Mus musculus: one gene and its partners. The protein of the gene in region 4 purifies or fractionates together with the protein of the main gene of each other region. This does not show direct contact. Links are inferred from orthologs where the notes say so. Each region holds a gene or a part of one and is shown on either strand. Other genes may lie near its edges. The genes, in order: Ap1m1, Ap1g2, Ap2b1 and Ap1s2.

Region 1 (4,638 bases), on a different chromosome or scaffold from region 4:
AGCAAATTCCCAGGCAAGTTCAACACCAATCCTCCCACATCCTCTGGCCACCTGCCTCCCAGCTCCCTATGTGGGCTGAAACCTTGACCACCACTGGCTGTACCATGGTCATCACCCTCTACTGGCATACACAGTGGTCTCCTGGAAGAATGGGGCCTTGTCTGGCCTCAGTTTTCCCTCAGTAGCATGAGACATGGTGTGAGTGCCTTCTCCGCACCCACAGGTGAAGCCTTTGATCTGGATTGAGTCCGTGATTGAGAAGCATTCCCACAGCCGCATTGAGTACATGGTCAAGGTCGGTGAGAGGAGAGGGTGGGCACCTTGGAGGCCCAAGTCAGGCGTGGGCAGTGCCTGGAATAGTCAGAATCTTTGGTGGGTAATGGGAATCCACTACCAGGCAGAGACTGTGTGGCCCTGGTAAGGTGGCTGGGGGTGGCCAGACTCCCTTCCTTGCATCATCCAGAGCCTCTGCCTGGGGCCTCCTTGCAGGCCAAGAGCCAGTTCAAGAGGCGGTCAACAGCCAACAATGTAGAGATCCATATACCAGTCCCCAACGATGCTGATTCACCCAAGTTCAAGACTACAGTGGGGAGTGTCAAGTGGGTCCCTGAAAACAGTGAGATCGTGTGGTCCGTCAAGTCCTTTCCGGTGAGCCCCATATTTGCCAGGTACCCCAAAATATCTTCCCAAGACCCATCCCTGTGCCACCTTGGGAAAGGTGTTTCCTTTCAGTGAGGGGCAGTCCTGCTTAGTGGCATCCTGGTCCCAGGAACACTGCAGCCCCTCTCTGTACCCTACAGGACTAGGGGAGAGCTGGCTATAGATCCATCCCAGGAGAGCTTTCACTTGGTGCTGCAGCACAGCCACAGTGCGCAGAGGACCGCATACAGTAGGATTCCCTGGTGCACCTCCACCCTTATCTTTGTCCTCACCAGAGAAGAAATAGTGAGAGCCAGGGCTGCCTTCATCTTTCTACCCTTTCTGTGTACTGGAGATGATCCCAAGGTACCCCAAGCATGGTAGACTCTCCTACTGTCCACACTGACTTAAGGGCCTCCCAGAGTTGGGGATTATAGGTGGGAAGGATGGCCAAACTCAGGGTAGATGCTGCCTGGCCCTGGTGACCACTATTGCACTTTCCCAGCCTTTTGTCACATGGCACAGTGGCAAAGCTCATCAGTGTCCTACATATTGCTGCAGTCCTTTTTAAGGCCAGGTAGTACTCCACACCATGCCCCTTCCTTTTTCACTGATAGGCACTCTTGGTGCACCCAAGTTATGCTGCAGTGGATATTAGTGCACAGGGCTCTCCTCCATACCCTGCTTCCTGTTCTCAGGCATACACCCACAAGAGAATGATTTGCCATTAGAATTGTTAGAATTGTTTGAGGCTCTGCCTTGGTGTTTTGTGTAGCAGTGGCACAGTGTCATTCCTGCCAGAGGTGCTTAACAGTTCTGGATTCTTGTCCATCACATTTTTGTCTTTGTCTTTGAGGTTGGGTCTTACTATGTAGCACTGTTTAGACCAGGCTGGCCTCAAACTCACAGAGATCCACCTGCCTCTGCCTCCCCAGTGCTATGGTTAGAGGCGTGCTCTGGTATCTGTCCTCATGTTTCCTTGGTCTTTGATTTGTGACTGTGCACCCAAAGCAATACTGCAGCCACTGACCCAGTCCCCAGCCCAGTCACACTCCCTCCTTTAAGTTCAGTCCACTCACTGGTAATTTTTACATTAGTGTTGATGCAGATAAACATTTCTTCCAGCTCCACCCTAAATCTGTACCCATGAAACCTACAGTGTAACATGCAACACCATTTTCTACAACTTCTGTTTTCACATAGAAGTTGTTTTGTATTTTTATTTTGTAGTGACTTTGTTTGAAACAGGGTCTCCCTGGATAGTGTCAGTGGTCTGCAACTCATTCTGTAGCCCAGAGTGACCTCAAACTCTTGTATCCCAGGCTGGCCTTAAACTTGCCACCTTCCTCCTGCCCTGAATGCTGAGATTGCTAGGCCCTGCTTACTCTTGTGTTTCCTGTGAGCAGGTCTTCTCTTTCCATTTCCCCTTACTTTGTTGTTAGGCACCAGGAGTCAGAAGGCTGTTTGCTCCAGCTCCCATGCAGATGTCATGGCATCCTTTATGGATGGGAGCTGATAAAGGGGAGTTAGGCTATGGAAGCTCTGTCCTGCTGCACCCCAGCTCCTAAGCATGGTCCTAGTCACAGCCACTCCTGCTGCCCCTAAGTGTGAGCTCAGGAAACCAAAGGCCACGTGTCGTGGGTATAACAGAGTTGGGGTGCCAGACAGAGGGGACAGCCAAGCCCAGGCCTGATGTGCTACCTGGCCAGAGCAGGGCAAGTGTCTCAGCTACCTGACTGGTCCCACTCTCACACCACCTCCAAGTTATTGCTGGACTCCTGGAAACCTGCACCTGCCCACACTTCAGTGTCCTCCCTCTCCCTGTTCACAGTCCCCTTGGGGCTGTGCAGGAGGACCCACCACTCTCCCCAGTGTGCTCCCGTGCTTTCCTTGTGGACCTGTCTGGACAGTCTGGCTCCACAGCCACCTATCCGTCTCCCTAGGAGCTGGTAAAGCCACTTCACACCCTGTCTGTCCTGCTTTGGCTCCTGGGAGCCATGAGCTAGCCTGAGAGACAGCACATTGGTTGTGGGCTGGGCAGCCACCTAACTACCTCCTACATCGGCCCCCAGGGTGGCAAGGAGTACCTGATGCGGGCCCACTTTGGCCTTCCCAGTGTGGAAGCTGAAGACAAGGAGGGAAAGCCCCCCATCAGCGTCAAGTTTGAGATCCCCTATTTCACTACCTCTGGCATCCAGGTATGAATGTGTTAGGTCTGACTGCCTGAACCCCACACTTGAGCCCAAAGTCACAACAGAACCTCCAAACCCCCATCCTGACATAGGGCCTATTTCCTTGGAGCCCCTCAAACTGTGTGGATGAGGGGAGCATATTATTCCCCTGAAAGGCTCAAGGTTACCAAGCCTGGGTCTTGGCTGCCTCTGACAGCCCCTCATACAATGTCAGGCCTGCCCCCTTGGCCTTGCCTTTTGGATGAGGGGTGCTGGTGGGGGTGCAGCACACTCAAGGTCCTTGTGTCCAGGTGCGCTACCTGAAAATCATTGAGAAGAGTGGGTACCAGGCCCTGCCCTGGGTACGATATATCACACAGAACGGAGGTAAGTGGCTGCCTGACTGGCAGGACCTACAGAGGTCTTTCTAGACTGTATCTTCCTATGTGGAGCTGAGGGTGGGTGCTCTGGGTGTCTGTGTGGAGCTGAGGGTGAGTGCCCTGGGTGTCTGTGTGGATCTGAGGGTGAGTGCCCTGGGTGACCATGTGGAGCTGAGGGTGGGTGCCCTGGGTGACCATGTGGAGCTGAGGGTGGGTGCCCTGGGTGACCATGTGGAGCTGAGGGTGGGTGCTCTGGGTGTCTGTGTGGAGCTGAGGGTGGGTGCCCTGGGTGTCTGTGTGGAGCTGAGGGTGGGTGCCCTGGGTGTCTGTGTGGAGCTGAGGGTGGGTGCCCTGGGTGTCTGTGTGGAGCTGAGGGTGGGTGCCCTGGGTGACCATGTGGAGCTGAGGGTGGGTGCCCTGGGTGACCATGTGGAGCTGAGGGTGGGTGCTCTGGGTGTCTGTGTGGAGCTGAGGGTGGGTGCCCTGGGTGTCTGTATGGAGCTGAGGGTGGGTGCCCTGGGTGTCTGTGTGGAGCTGAAGGTGAATGTTCTGTTTTTAGATTATCAGCTCCGGACCCAGTGAGAGGCCTCTGCCACCAGCCCAGCCCACCTAGCCTCAGGGCACACCTGCCACACTCACCAAAACTGAAGCTAGAGGGTGGCCCTGGACATGCAGCCACCCTCTCCTCAAGCCTGAGTGGACTCACACAGAACCCCTTCCCTGGTCCCATTCTGATCCAGGGTGGGAAGGAAGGGCCTGCCAGCCTCCCCCAGGGACAAGCCAGCTGGAGCTGTGCTCCTGGTGCCTCATGACTGGCCACCCACCACCCTGTAGACGCCATCCCTGCCCACCTCCGAAGCCTCCCTTCTGTTGCCATTTTGCTGAGCATGTTGGTCATTGTCATTGTCATCTGTGGCTGTCCTGTCACCTTTCTTCAAGTGTCCTGTGCAGCTGCCATGCTGCACTTAATGAGGGCAGCTGTCCCCTATCCATGCTGGTCTGTATGCCGGATAGTTGCTCTGCCTGGGCCGGCTGTGCCTCCCTTGCCAGCCCTTGACCACATCAGTGTTTTCTCAGAAGGGCACATGGCCTCAGCCTTTGCCCTAAAATTCCTGGGCAGGCACAGGCTACCCTCACTGTACAAGGCCTCGTTGTCCTGGACCCATGTGTGTGTGTGACAGTTATATTAAAATCCATTTGTTACATCTGCTGCCTGTCTTCTCTCTGTGTGCTGTTGGTTCAGGCCCCACATAGGGACCCTGTATGACCCGTTGACTTCCCTTGCATCAAAGCAGGCCTAGCAGTGACAGGACCACACTTCCCTTCCCTGGGTAGCTGGAGCTGGAGTGCCCTTCCAAGGGACACTAGATAGAGTATCCTCTCAGGGTCTCTAGCTTGCCTGTCATGCCTTTGCATCGTGGCTGCCCTCTGGTGGTCTAAAGCTATCG
Region 2 (3,768 bases), on a different chromosome or scaffold from region 4:
GAGCACCCGACTCCGGGGAGACAACAAGTAAGAAGGGAGCTCCCGTCCCTTTAAAGATGTCATTTCCGCCAGGCCTACTAAGTCCCCAGGCACGCATCCCTCTCCCCGCCTAGCCTTAGGAATCTGCTTTTGAGCCACATATATCAGGGGTCTCCTTACTCTGTGAGGCCTCTCCCTTCCCTCTCATCCTGGAGTGGAAGAGCAGGCCGACCGCCACTGCCTCTCACAGGCCACACGGTGGCCCAGTCGTATTCGCCAGGTGGTGTCCATCTACGGGAGCTGTGTGGACTTAGAGCTGCAACAGCGGGCTGTGGAGTATAACACACTCTTCCAGAAGTACGACCACATGAGGTGTGTCCTGAGGCCTGCAGGTAGAACTTCAGACTCTCTACTCCCAGGGCGCTCTTCAGAGCCTCTCTTGGGGGGGGGGGGGGGAACGACTCACCTCCCATCCATAGTGGATGGCAAGCTGGTTTCCCATCCTCATCTGTTGTCGGAAGACCAGCAACTGGCTTCCTGTCTTAGGAAGCCAGGACGGCACTTGTGACCCTGTGTGCCACCGCCCTGTGTCCTTGGTCTTCTTCCCAAATGCTTCTGTGAGAGCATGTGCTTCATACAGGAACCCTTGCGTTCCATCCCTTCAGAGCCGCCATCCTAGAAAAGATGCCTCTTGTAGAGCGTGGTGACCCCCACGTTAAAGAGGGAGGGAAGGAGAAGCAAACGGAAGCCCAGCCCTTGGAAGTGACAGCCCCTGCCCCCACAGAACCCCAGGTGAGGAGGTGGGAGGACCTGGGTAGAGAAGACTTATGTGGGTGTTCACACCCTGCCGTGACCTCCTGCCCTTTTTCCCAGGCCACCAAACTCTTAGATCTACTGGATCTCCTGGGTGACACTTCAGAGCCTCTCTCTTCTGGGCATGCCCAGCATCTTCCTCCTCAGACTCCTTCCCCAGGGGAAGCCTTAATTCATCTCCTTGACCTTCCCTGTACACCGCCACCCCCAGGTAGGCCTCAGCTAAGGGAGAAACATTATAGAAGTGGGGTGGAAATGGGTCTTTTCTCTCTCTGAGCCAAGGATAGGGACACCCATCTCAGTAGGCAAAGGTCCATGGCGGTCCCATCTTTAATGTACTTGTACTTCTCACCCCAGTCTGCAGGCCTGTTTCCACTCCAGCCTGCACTATCACTTCCCACTGCCCACTCTATTGGTCTCTTCAACTCCCCAAAGCCTTCCACCTCAAACCCTTAACATTTCACGTTCTTTACCCAACACCAAAAGGACTGCTACTAGCGGATACTACTCACTCTTCAGCTAAATGCCATCTGTCTACCCTCTCCTGTTTAACTTGGTTCATCACGGCCATGATTATCTTGTATTTCGTTCGATGTTTCTCTTTCCCCAACTAGATGGCCAGCCCAAGCCTTAGCTTGTCTACTTTTATCATTAGATCCGGGGCAGCTGCAGGGTCAAGACTGGCTCACTCCATTTTTACTGGCTGAGTGGCTGGGTGTTTTATCTTAAGCCCATGCACTGAGCTGCCTCTCTCCCTTCTCCAGCTCCCATCCCCAGTGTCAGAGTGTTTGAGCGTGAGGGCCTACAGCTGGATCTTTCTTTCATGCGGCCCTTGGAGACCCCTGCTTTGCTCTTAGTCACTGCCACCACCACCAACTCCTCAAAGGAGGATGTTACCCACTTCGTTTGCCAGGCAGCTGTGCCCAAGGTTTGAAAACAGTGGGGTTTAGCCAGGTGTGATAGTTGGTGCCTGTAATTGTAGAACTTAGAAACCTGAGGCAGGGGGACTCATTGTTTGAGGCCAACCTGCCTTAACATAGTGACTTTGAAGCCAATTTGAGCTACACTGTTTCAATAAAAGAAAAAAAAAAAAATAGCATTCAGAGGTAGCCAGGGAATTTCAGGAGAAGAGGCCAGAAAGAAATGGAGGAGGGTGGGAGGCAGAGTATAATGGGAAAGGAGTGATTGTGTTATTGGGGTGTTATCCAAAAATGTTTGGGAGCCACGGGATGTGGAGGACTGCCTGAGCCCAGGGGCCTTACAATGCTCTGCCCAAATCTCCCATGTTCAGAGTTTCCAGCTGCAGTTACAGGCCCCCAGTGGGAACACAATTCCAGCTCAGGGTGGTCTTCCCATCACCCAGGTCTTCAGAATCCTCAATCCTAACCAGGTGAGTTGTCAGACGCTGCGGGTAAGAGGGACGAAGCAATAGGAGACCTGACCCTGGTCTCTGCTTGCCTGTTTTTAGGCACCTTTGCGACTTAAGCTGCGCCTCACCTACAACCACTCTGGCCAGCCAGTACAGGAGATCTTTGAGGTGGATAACTTGCCTGTGGAGACGTGGCAGTAACCGACTGTGGTCAGTGTCTGGCCTGGGTGTCTCCAGGCTCCTGGTGTTCAAGGAACGGAAATAAAGACCCACGTAAATGGCGAAGTAAACTTTATTTAAAGGCAAACTGAGCGTACAAATTAGAAGTGCTCTGTAAACGGGTGATGACCACAGTCTTAAGAGCCCAGGGCAGTCACCCGGTGTTCCTTTAATAAAGTCTCAGGGAACGAAGGTGTTAGCTGTGAAGTGGCATAATTTGAGTGATTCTCTGTTTTCATTGACAGGCTTGGATTCTGTCAGCCTTTCTTCTCTGTGCGTAACCCTTCCCATGATGCAGCTGACTTTAATCATAAGCTAACTCATTCTGCACAGGCATAGGACGGTCCATAGGGAGTTCTCCTCAAAAGGTCACCCAAAGATCACAGGTTACCCCAAACCCGTTTAGGCCTAATCAGCTCCCTACTTTGGGGTATGTCCTAAAGTGTTTGAATAAAACTGTCCACAGAAGGGGAGTTTTGATGGCTGCTGGGGAAAGAGAGATTTACTGTCTGAAGTGGGCTCTAAGTGCTACTCGATACAGGCGGGGTCCTGGCTGCACTGTTAGAAGAATGTGTGTGCATGGTGCGTGCAGCTGAGGGTCCTAAGATGCCAAGTGGCAGTGAGATGAGAGGTGTGCATAGCTCAAACCAAGTGGAGTTCCAGGCTGCTAACCTGTTCCCTAAGCTTGCCTGCCTCATAACTGCCTCGGCTCCTCTCAAATCTTTCTGCACCCTCAGCTTGGGACACAACCCTGAGGGCCACCAGCAGGTGGCACTCAGACCCTATATTTGTCAAGGCAATATAGAGAGCCTGCCTCCTCCCCAACAAATAAAGTCTATGAAGCGTGAGAAGGGAAGAGAGGCCTGTTTTGACCTAGTTGAGAGAAAAAAAAATGTGTTAAGAGCAAGGGTGGTGCCTTCTCCACAGGAAGTATGACTTCCTGAAACCCTAGGAACCGGTCTCAACAATGACCATTTTCTTTCTACCCCTCTCTGGGTTGGAGAGCAAATGTTCTCTCTAAACTGCCACACTGAGCACTCTACCCTCCCGGCACAGCAGCAGGCCCTGAATTTCTAGATCCCTTAAGGAGTTCCTAACCTTTTCCCCACCTTCTTGCTCTTCCCTACACCCCAGGGCAGGGAAATCCCCGCTGTTTCCCCTCATCTCTAACTCAGCTGTAAGGCGGCTTCAGAGCCTCTGGCAGAATCAATGGCATCGACCAAGGGAGGGGGGGGTGGCAAGGGATTTTCCTGTGCTTAACTACTGATCACGGCTAAGTGGAAATCCTATAAACACGAGCGGAAATCAATGGAGGCTGCTTAGCGGCCAGGGGAGAGGGGCGGCCCACAGATTGCATCTGACGGATGAGGGAAGCAGCCAGGGAGGGC
Region 3 (4,638 bases), on a different chromosome or scaffold from region 4:
TTCCATTCCAGCACCTAGGAGGCAGAAGCAGCTCAATCTCGGAGTTTGAGGCCAGCCTGGACTATATAATGAATTCTAGGCCAGCTAGGGCTACATGGTGAAACCTTGTCTCAAAACCAAACAAACATACACCTGACTCCAGAAAACAACAACAACAACAACAACAATAAAAACAAAACAAAAAGGCTAAAGCAAACTATAAAGAAAACCGGGTCACTCTGTCCTACCCTAAGAGAGCATGTAATGTACAGTCTTTTTTTTTTTACTTTAATTTTTTATTAGATATTTTCTTCATTTACATTTCAAATGCTATCCTAAAGTCCCCTATACCCTCCTCCCGTATAGTCTTATTTATGTCTGTAGTTATAGTTATTTTCTAGTCTTGAAAGTAGATGTGTAAGATAGTAGCAATACGAAAAACTGGGTTAAAAGAAAAAGTCCCATTAAAAATCTTGTAAGTACTCTCAAAAAGTGTATTTTCTAAGTATTAGTTATATCTAAGAGAATGAACAGTCCATCTCAGACAATGTGCATCAGGACCCATTAATAACATCTGAACCTTAAACATCATTTGCCTATTAATATGCCCCCCCATCCCACATGATTTTGAACGAATCATTAATCATTTTCACACTTTTGATACTTGGGGTTGGACCTAGGGCAGGGCCAGGCTGACAGGCGTTCTGCCATCGAGTGATACTCCACAGCCCGATTTTTACTTTTTCCTTTGAGGCTGAGTCTCTGAGTTGCCCAGTCTGGCCTTAAATTTTCCATCTTCCTGCCTGAGCATCCCATACAGGTGGGATCACAGGTCTGTGTCACTAGGGTCAGGTCTCATTAATCATTTTTTTTTAAAAAAAAGAAATTATATTTATTTCATTTATTTGTGTGGGTATGTGTCACGATACTTGTCCTAGTTAGAGGAAAGCTGGAGGGAGCCAATTCTCTTCTTTATCAGTTTATCAGGCTTGGTGGCAAGTAACTTTGTCTACTGCGCCATCCCTCCAATCTTCTTAACCACAATTCCCTGGTCTACAACCTGGGACTAATATGCTTCCTTAACTTAGCAAAGATGGGACAATGTATACACTAATGAATGGTGAGTTTAAAAGAAACATGCACAGCTGTCTAGAAAAGTAACTAAATGGAAGTATTTTACCAGACCTGGATTTCTTAGTGAGACCCTCTCTCTCCTTTTAGCAAGAGTACAGAGGGTTTTCCTGTTCTGGGCAACTTAAGATAAATGACAGAGTAGATTTTTACTCTCTGAAAAAGACAAGACATGAGTCTGGCTTGGTGGTACAAGCCTTTAGTCCCAGAACTCATTTTAATTTCAGCATTTGGGAGGCTGAGGCAAATGGATTTTTGTTTGACACCTGCCTGGTTGAAAGAATTATTCTAGGATGGCCAGGGCTACATTTTGAGACCCTGTTTCAGAAACCTGAAACAGAAACAAAAAAGTAGCAGAGATAGAAGGGAGGGAAATCTCACAGATGCTTCCTGGGAAAGCCCAAGTTGACTGGACTCAGCAGCAGCATACACTTGGCATTCCAGCGTACGGCAGGGAGAATACTAAGAATTTCTGTTTGGGTGACACTACTTCTTTGATGCATGACAGCATAAACAACAGCTGTCAACACTAAGGAATGGGGTCACAGAATAAAAGGCTCTCTGAGTCTGATTTTTCACCTTCCTCAGAACCAGTCACTATTGAATCTTCTTCCCCTGCCAACGCCTTCAAACAACCTAAAACGAGAATAAGGTACTTCCCCATCTCAAAGCTTGTTGGGAGATCACATTTGACACCAGCACAGAGCTCAGGGCCTCGGGGACCAGTCTTTACTGCCGAGCAAAGCAGTGGTTTTTCCTGTGCAAAGCCATGCAATAACTTTTACTTCCGTTCAGAGAGATACTGGAGGAGGTTTCCCAATCTACAGGGGAAACCTATAGGGTGGAGACTTCTCTCCCTGTTAAGGAAACCATGGTTAAGACTGATTAATTAGTGACTTGTTCAAATCATGGCTTGGTGGTAGTAGTTGTGTATAGGTCTAGACATCCTTAAGGCCAAGAGCTCTGAGAGTAGACAAGGTCCAGTGTAATCAGGTGGGAAATGCTTTTTGTTTTTGTCTTTTGGTTGGAGTGTGCTGGGCACTTTGCTCTATCCTTTCTATCACGTCCCGTCCCCCTGAGACAGGTCTCTCACGGAACCTGGTGAGGCTGTCTGATCAGCAAGCTCCAGTGATCCTCTTGCCTCCTCTGAGTGCAACGCTGGGCTTCCAGCATGTGTGGTCATGCCTGCTTTTATGTGGGTGCTAAGGGTCTGAACCCAGGCCCTTCTGTTTGTACAGCAAGCACCCTTACCATCTCTCAGCCCCAGAAACACTTTTTTTTTTGAGGCAGGGTCTCAACTATGAAGTTCTGGCTAGCCTCCAATCCACAGCTATCCACCTTTCTTTTCCTAGGACTGCAGGTGTGATCATGATGCCAGCTAGAAACACTCCTCTTAACAGTTTACTCTAGTACCAAATGCATGCCAAGGAGGAGCCATCTCTGTGTGCCAGCGAAGCAATGTAACTGTCAGAGGCAGGTGGTCTACCCTGGTCTGTCCCCAGTACCATGCCTTGTAAGTCAGAAGACCACAGTGAGGAGAGAAGACATTTCATGATTGCAACACAGGACTCCCTTACTGAGTGCTTGTTTTTTGGTATCTTGGCCAGAAGTACTTCTCCAGGTCTCTGTAGTACACTAAAGAATTTTTAAATGTATGGGCTCTTACCTCTGGATTCTAACCCATCTCACACATTCTGGGAAAGGCCTTACCGTATAATTGGGGTTTCCTGGCTGGATCCGCAGCTCTGCCAAAATCCAAATGCCATTAGTGAGCTTCAGGGACTGGTACAGCATGTCCTGCCCTTCCACGTTCCTCTTGGCAATAGTGTAAACATTGTTGTTTTGCAACTTGCTGGAAACTGTGTCTAGAAATAGAGAGCCGAGACTTAAGCTTTCAGTTAAAGTCTCCAACGCACACATTCCTCTCTGCCCCTCTTGTGAACTTCACATCTCCTCGAGTTCCCGATCAATTCCAGCACATTCACATGTCCAGAGCTTCTTCTGATACAGGCAGGCAAAATGAAGGGCCTGCCCATCACGGTATCAAACAGAAAACAGGAAGGTGCACTAACACTGGAGTTTAAGAGTTACCTAGGGAGGGTCGACAATAGATAGACAGGCCTCAGGTTTACTAAGAACAAACTAAGTTCTCGGGTTAATTACTTTTCCCACTGCAGTAACAAAGTTCCCTGGCCAAAGTGACATAAAAACCGAAGGGTCATTTTGGCTTACAGTCCTGGGGTACAGCCCATCATGGTGGAAATCATGGCAGCAGGAGCGAGGGGCAGCTGTTCAACACTGCATCCAGATAGCACAAGACAAATTCTAGTGTTAACTTGTTTTCCCTTGTTCCTTCAGGTCAGGACTCCACCCAAGGAAAGGAGCCACACAGAGTTCAGGTGGGTCTTTCCCACTTCAATGAACGAATCCAGATAATCCCACACAGGGACCCCCAGAGGCTAACCTCATTTAGATAATCGCTCACAGGTGTGTCTAGAGGCTTGCCTTCTAGGTTCTAGACCCTGTCAAATTGACAATAGTAAGCATCACAATGGTAGACAGGCACAAATACTCTGATGGGGACAAAGGTGGATTTGTGGGAGTCCCCATTCAGACTCTAGTTGATTCTCATTTCTGGAACACTGCTCCCCATCCAGGAAAGTTACACTGATGATCAGATGTGCACTCCCCAAGTCACTACTACTGCACTGTGAGCCACATGGGCCTCGGTTTCACAGCTTTAGAAAAGGACAGAGCTGCACAGGTCTTTTCAAGTCAGATTTATTAAACTGGATACTTAAATTTCATTTTTAAAGCAGGCAAACAATTTTTTTTAGATGCTAGAGGAAACCATGCTTTCCAACACACAAGGAAACAAATTACTTTAATGGAAGACACAGAGAGGCCTGAAGCTATGTGAAATGACTGTTGTATGCTCAGATCCCAGCTGCCATGCGGGTGATGCCTCTGCACTCCCGAGCTCACGACAACAACAGTTTGGTGCTCCTGTGACTATATCATCAAGAGACACAATGCTCTAGAGTTAATTAAAGGTCATGTCTTTGTCTGAGATGCTGCAGTGTCAGAAACAAACTTTGAAGAGTAGCGATGATATGCCAGGTGTGTTAGTGTCTTTAATCTCAGTACTCGGCAGGGGCAGGGGCAGACAGAGCAGGAGGGATCTCTGAGTTTGTGGCCAGCCTGGTCTACAAAATGAGTTTCAGGACACCCAGGGCTACACAGAGAAACCCTGTCTTAAGGAGGAAAAAAAAAAAAAAGGCCTAGAGATGATGATAAACACAGCTTCTTTGCTAGCTCCTTATTAATTAGCTTCAGATGAGAACTCAAATTACTCAGCCTAATCCAGAATTAAACTCTCACAAAAGTATTATATTCTGGTGTGGTCTCTAGGAAAGGAAACATGATGGCCTTCACCCCATGGCAAGATCTCTGCCCAGGAAACCTCAGGTTTTTATCACTGGCTGTCTCACTTTCCCAACTGTATGTGATCAGCACCTATAAATATGT
Region 4 (5,370 bases):
GTTGGTATTAGAATTTAATAAGCCATTCCTTCTGCTAAATTAATAAGCAGCCAAGATTATGTAATAGCTGCTTTCAGCTGCTAATTATTTTCCCATAATTCCTTCTCTACCCCCCAGCCCTCCCCACTTTCTCTCTCTCTCTTTTTGGCTAGGAACACAGAAATGAGACTGCCAATTTGCAAGTCTCCCATAATTTCCAGAGCTACTAACCAACATTAGTAACACATCCAATGAGTTTAAACTTGGGAGGTGGTGACTTAGGCACCCTGAGGACGTAGGTGTTTTGAACACAAAAAGGAAAGGCAGTGTTTAGAATTAGAAGGCCGTTTTTCATTGTGTAATATCATTGCTATCTTTGAACTGGCTAATGACATCTGTTTCTTGTGAGAAAGTACATTGGCATTTTAGAGGCATGTTTCAACAATAAACAGAGAAATTTGGGCCGGGGACCTAAAGACCTACCAAAAGCCAATTCTGCTTTCTATTGACCACTTTAATACTCCAGTATATTTCACTCACACACGTTTGTAGGAAACTTTCCAAGCAGCATAGTATTGCTGAAAAGGGGAAAGTATTCTAGTTTTATTTTTGCTAAACAAAAGCATATACAAAATGACCTCAAATTCCTAACGTATAAGATCCTATTACATTGGCACTCTAAGACATAAAAATGAACATTGATGTCTAATAAGGGGGTTCTTTACATTAAGTAAACACAGCTTCGCTAAAAGTGTAGCATCTTTTTTTTCTTACATTAGTTAATTTACAATTCCTGTTTAGTAATCTCTGCAAAGAAAGGCATGCCCAATGAATACTCTGTTCTGGCTTTTGTTGTAGGGACAGAGGTGACAGTAGTAATGAGTAGCATTTGACAGGGGAAATCCATGGCTGTCCAAGCAAGGTCACCTAATCCTGTGGATCTCCATTCCCCTTATCTATAAAAGATGAGTTGAACTCGATGATCCATCCATTCCACCATTCAAATAAAACACAGACATCCATCATACGCCCAGACTAAGTCAACATTTCAGCTTTTTAACAAGTCTATCATCATTTTATAATTTTATTAGACAACTCACATTTATCAGTAGTGTTAAAACCAGGCAGAGAACTAGGTTGTTAAACGAATAAAATCCAAGGTGCGCTAAACAGAAGCATGTGGGTAAAAGAGGAATTCGTTGTTCCGGGGCTTTAGGGTGAGGCTTTATAGATGTGACATTAGAGGAAGGACATGCCAAGGCGAGCGAGTCATCAGCCAAGGCTAAACTGGAACCCGGGATGGGGAAGGTGCGGGCGAGACCGTGAGAAGGAAGCGGGATCTAAAAGGACTAAGCGCTGTCTGGATTTTTTTTTTTTTTTTTTTTTTTTTTTTTTTTTTTTTGCAGCAGAGAGCGGACTACAACTCCTCCAGTCCGCCGCACTGCTGGGGGAAGCAAGCCCTGAAGAGAGGCTCTAGCAAAGCTTGTGGCGAGAAATGTCTAGGTTAGCTGGGGCTGGAAAGGAGGGGCCTCCCTGCAAACGCGGGCACGAGCACCGCGACAGCGCTGACTTGTTTTCCCCTGAGTTGCAGCACTCCTGTCCTTGGCTCCCACCATCATCGCCGACTGTCACACCTCCCCGCCCAACCCTCTGGAGACCCACGGAGTCACTGGCGCTCGGAATCAGCCCCTTTGCGGTGCGGACCATCCTTTAGCCTGCACCACGGGGTCAGCTAAGGGCGCCGCGGAGCCCCATCACCCTGCCACGGAAGGAGCCAGGACAGCCGCGCGCGCCGCGTCCCGGCAGCACAGCCCGAAGTACGCAAGCGCGCTGGCCACAGCCTAGGCCGCTTCCGGGTCACGTGGCCAGACTTCCGGCCCTCGCCACGCCTACCCTGCGGTTATTTGACCAATCGGCTTCTCGTTCTTGCCGGCAACAGCGCTCACTCTAGAGGCGGTTGGCGCCCCCTCGGCAGCTTGGCGCGCGGTCTCCGGTCCGCCTCTCCGCTCGCCGCAGCCCGGGCTCCTCCTCCGTCCAGCCTCCAGGGCGGGATCTGTCGGCTCGCCCTACCCTCGCAGCCTAAGCCTGCCCTCCACCAGACGGGTCCCCTCCCCGCGGCACCACGGCTTCCCTTCCACAGCACGGCGACGGGGGCTTCCCCTCAGCAGCTGCCGGCGCCTCAGTCTCCGCGGCCAGCCCAGCTCCGCCGCGTCCGCGGCCCGCCGCCGCCGTAAGTGCTGAAGGAGTCCGCTGAGCTGGCAGGGATGGAAAGAGGGAGTGATGGCTGGGACGCGCCCCCCGCCGCCCCGTGAGCGCCCCGACGACCCCACCCCGAGTCCTCCCGGGGCGCCGCGCCCCGAAACTCACTTCTGCCGGCGGTAGCGCTCCGCTCTCCACTCGGCAGCGCGCCGGTGATGCAGGGGAACCGGTCCTAGGTTCCGCGGGGACCCCGCGGCACCTGTGGTTCGCTGATCGCCTCAAGTTTGACGGGGCGTTTTGGGGAGGGGCTGGGGTGACGGCGACCGAGGACTTGGCGCCCCTGGCGGGCCAGCGGATGCCATTGTCTCTGCTCCACTCCTTGCCGGTCACCTCGCCCAGCTTTGGGTACTGATGGAGTGTAGTCCCGGGAGGAGGGGAGGCGTCCGAGACTGCGGGACCCCAGGGATGCTGGACCAGAGCCCACTCCAAGGCTGAGCTCATTGTTGGGTTTTTTGTTTTGTTTTGTTTTGTTTTTGTTTTAATACCAATCTGGAGAAATTGTTGTCCCGGGATTTGCGGCAAAAATCAAAGCGAGGGAAAAGGAATACTTGTGCCGCGGGTTTCGTCCCATGTTAGCACATCATTTGTTTTGAGGAAAATGCTTGGTTTCTTCGTCCTCCAAAGTGGTAGGGCGGATACTGGACCCCGCTACAGATAGCCTAGAGCACACCCCAGTCATTAGCAAACCATCTCTCCTGGTCAAGATTTAAGAAAACCGATCGGTCCCTTCCCCAAGTTCTGATAACGGTTTGCGTTCAATGTCCAGTTCTTTCGATGCCGTTCTTTTCGATGCCGCTGTCTTCAGGACTTACAAGGGTGGCACTTTGCTCTCAATGAATTATATAGTGTTGTGTGGGGTAATAGCCAATTTTAACTTTATTAAAGTTAAATGGCTACGCCATAAATATCCGGATGTTTTCTTGATGCCTTTTTGGGATATTGCGAGGTGGATTTCCTGTCTAGAGCCAATTTGATTTTATATTAGTTACGTAAATTCCTCCTCCGGGTGTTCAAATTTAAGGTTGTGTGGTGAATATTAAGAATCGCCCTTGGGTGGATCTTACTTGCACTGTCACTGTTAAAGGAACTTAAAAAGGTTAAAACAAAACACCTATCCAAATTTTACCTTCAAATTAGCTTTACAATACAGCTCGCTTTTACCAGTTGAATTATAAAATACATGCCTTAGAAAATATAGACTGACCAACAGACATGCAAATACTAAGTAAATCAATGCAAATTAGCTTCGGTATAAAACATACTCAAATCCAGCATAACATTCAAATGTGGTTTTTGTTTTAAAAGAAGTATTCTGTGCACTGTCCCAAAAATTTGTTGTTTTAAATTAAATATCTTGTGTCTCGATATGAGTAACTTTGAATAAAGCTTTTTAAGCGTGTATTCTCTTTTACATACATTAACTCAGTTCTTGAGTGCTTGTTTGTGTTGGATTTTATGAAATGCAAACATAAAAATCGGGCTTTTGTCTTTAAAATGTGTTGTTTGTGAGATCTTTTTGATTAATATTGTGATTTTGCTTAAAATATGCTAGCATAAATTGAAGGGAATGCTTTAAATGACAAGCAGTTTTTCTGCAAGAAATTCAGCCTGGAACTAGAATAGCCTCAGGGTGAAAAATAGTAGGTCTCCTCTTCCTAGACATGTAAATCAACATCCTAAATCAACTACCTGATGTCTGCATTTGCCTTTAATGCACATAGAGTGGTGGAGTGTGGAACAGGTAGAAAATTGTTTCTTGAAATTATCAGAGTTTTTGTTCTTCAAAATTTTCACTCCAGCTTACCACCTGTTCTGATTTCCACACACTCTTCCACACTTACCTACATATAGTAAGATCTTTCCAATAGAATTTCCTGCTATTATAACCTGCGTAGAAATGTTGATGGCTTATTGATCATGTGTCAGGGTGTTTACTGTACCCCCAAAGCAGCTCTGAAACATCATGTGATCTTGACTGTTGATCCTAGGTAATTGTATGTAATTTTGATTTTATTTATTTTAACAGATGCAGTTTATGTTGCTTTTTAGTCGCCAGGGAAAGCTTCGACTGCAGAAATGGTATGTCCCACTGTCAGACAAAGAAAAGAAGAAGATCACAAGAGAACTTGTTCAAACCGTTTTAGCACGGAAACCCAAGATGTGCAGCTTCCTTGAGTGGAGAGATCTGAAGATTGTTTATAAAAGGTATTTTTGTTTTTTTTTATCAGAAAGGTAAAATACTGTCAAATATTAGGGTTATTTCTAATGAGGAAATTGCAGACTTTTATGTCAATAAACAAAGATTAATAAATATTAAATGAAATAAATTTAAAGGAAAACTTTCCATTTAAAAATAAGTAACTGCTATTTTGATTGCTTGCCTTAGGCTGAAGCAATAGCAGCAGGGAATCATTTTTAAATTAATTATATAAAAAAGACAGACAATTATTCCTGCTTAATCACCATTTTAGAAAAATTTAGTAAATTCATTACTGGGGTAAATAGGGTATTTTAAATTTTTAAGTACTTCGCTAAATTCTTGCATGCATAGATAACAGTGTAATAATTCCTTGTTATAACAAATCTATAAAATAATTACTGATATTTGGTATTTCTTTTCTGACTTTTAGAATTAATCTTATTCATAAAGATCCTGGACACATAGACCATCTCAGTATACAGATGTTTAAATACTTTGTGTATATATAGAATGTCTTTCCTAGTAGCATTTATTAATTTAAAATAGACTTTTTGCTGTGAAGGAGTTATGTTTAGATATGATAATTTTACCAAGGATAGATTTTTTTTAAAGTGATGTTTCAAAATAACTTGTAAAAAAATAGCTTTTTTACACAGTTTTTTCTTTAATGCTACATATCTTTATTTTGTTGGTAACCAAAAGTTTTCTAAGCAGTTTAAAAGAAATATAATTTCTTCTTTTATAGGATTTTTTTGAGGGAACATTTCCTTATTTCTTCCCCATTTCTGGTCCCCTTTGAATAATTTACTGAATTCAACATAAAAGCATTTCTTCATATAAAACATGGTCTTGTATGGGGAGTACTCAGAGAACAGTATGCAATTCAGTGATGGTGGAGAGAAGTGTAATTTTCTATCACTATATTTCAAATA

Evidence for each region.
Region 1: the proteins of Ap1s2 (region 4) and Ap1m1 fractionate together in Homo sapiens (co-fractionation; 6 studies listed by BioGRID and IntAct, counting the BioPlex papers as one, with this or other methods). This does not show direct contact. The link is inferred for Mus musculus from reciprocal best matches to the Homo sapiens genes AP1S2 and AP1M1.
Region 2: the proteins of Ap1s2 (region 4) and Ap1g2 purify together in Homo sapiens (affinity purification with mass spectrometry; 3 studies listed by BioGRID and IntAct, counting the BioPlex papers as one, with this or other methods). This does not show direct contact. The link is inferred for Mus musculus from reciprocal best matches to the Homo sapiens genes AP1S2 and AP1G2.
Region 3: the proteins of Ap1s2 (region 4) and Ap2b1 purify together in Homo sapiens (affinity purification with mass spectrometry; 3 studies listed by BioGRID and IntAct, counting the BioPlex papers as one, with this or other methods). This does not show direct contact. The link is inferred for Mus musculus from reciprocal best matches to the Homo sapiens genes AP1S2 and AP2B1.

What each region holds. Positions count from the first base shown.
Region 1 is NC_000074.6:72,252,986-72,257,623, forward strand, and holds the end of Ap1m1 (AP-1 complex subunit mu-1), read left to right. Parts: intron 1-223; coding exon 224-295; intron 296-489; coding exon 490-648; intron 649-2,711; coding exon 2,712-2,837; intron 2,838-3,121; coding exon 3,122-3,197; intron 3,198-3,749; coding exon 3,750-3,772; 3' UTR 3,773-4,401; downstream 4,402-4,638. UniProt on the Homo sapiens protein: Subunit of clathrin-associated adaptor protein complex 1 that plays a role in protein sorting in the trans-Golgi network (TGN) and endosomes.
Region 2 is NC_000080.6:55,097,654-55,101,421, reverse strand, and holds the end of Ap1g2 (AP-1 complex subunit gamma-like 2), read left to right. Parts: coding exon 1-27; intron 28-246; coding exon 247-351; intron 352-644; coding exon 645-771; intron 772-852; coding exon 853-1,003; intron 1,004-1,556; coding exon 1,557-1,720; intron 1,721-2,083; coding exon 2,084-2,182; intron 2,183-2,260; coding exon 2,261-2,362; 3' UTR 2,363-2,587; downstream 2,588-3,768.
Region 3 is NC_000077.6:83,396,092-83,400,729, reverse strand, and holds part of Ap2b1 (AP-2 complex subunit beta), read right to left. Parts: exon of another isoform or gene 3,960-4,638; intron 2,976-3,959; coding exon 2,821-2,975; intron 1-2,820. UniProt on the Homo sapiens protein: Component of the adaptor protein complex 2 (AP-2). Adaptor protein complexes function in protein transport via transport vesicles in different membrane traffic pathways.
Region 4 is NC_000086.7:163,907,065-163,912,434, forward strand, and holds the start of Ap1s2 (AP-1 complex subunit sigma-2), read left to right. Parts: upstream 1-1,952; 5' UTR 1,953-2,209; exon of another isoform or gene 2,210-2,234; intron 2,235-2,346; exon of another isoform or gene 2,347-2,583; intron 2,584-4,264; coding exon 4,265-4,443; intron 4,444-5,370. UniProt on the Homo sapiens protein: Subunit of clathrin-associated adaptor protein complex 1 that plays a role in protein sorting in the late-Golgi/trans-Golgi network (TGN) and/or endosomes.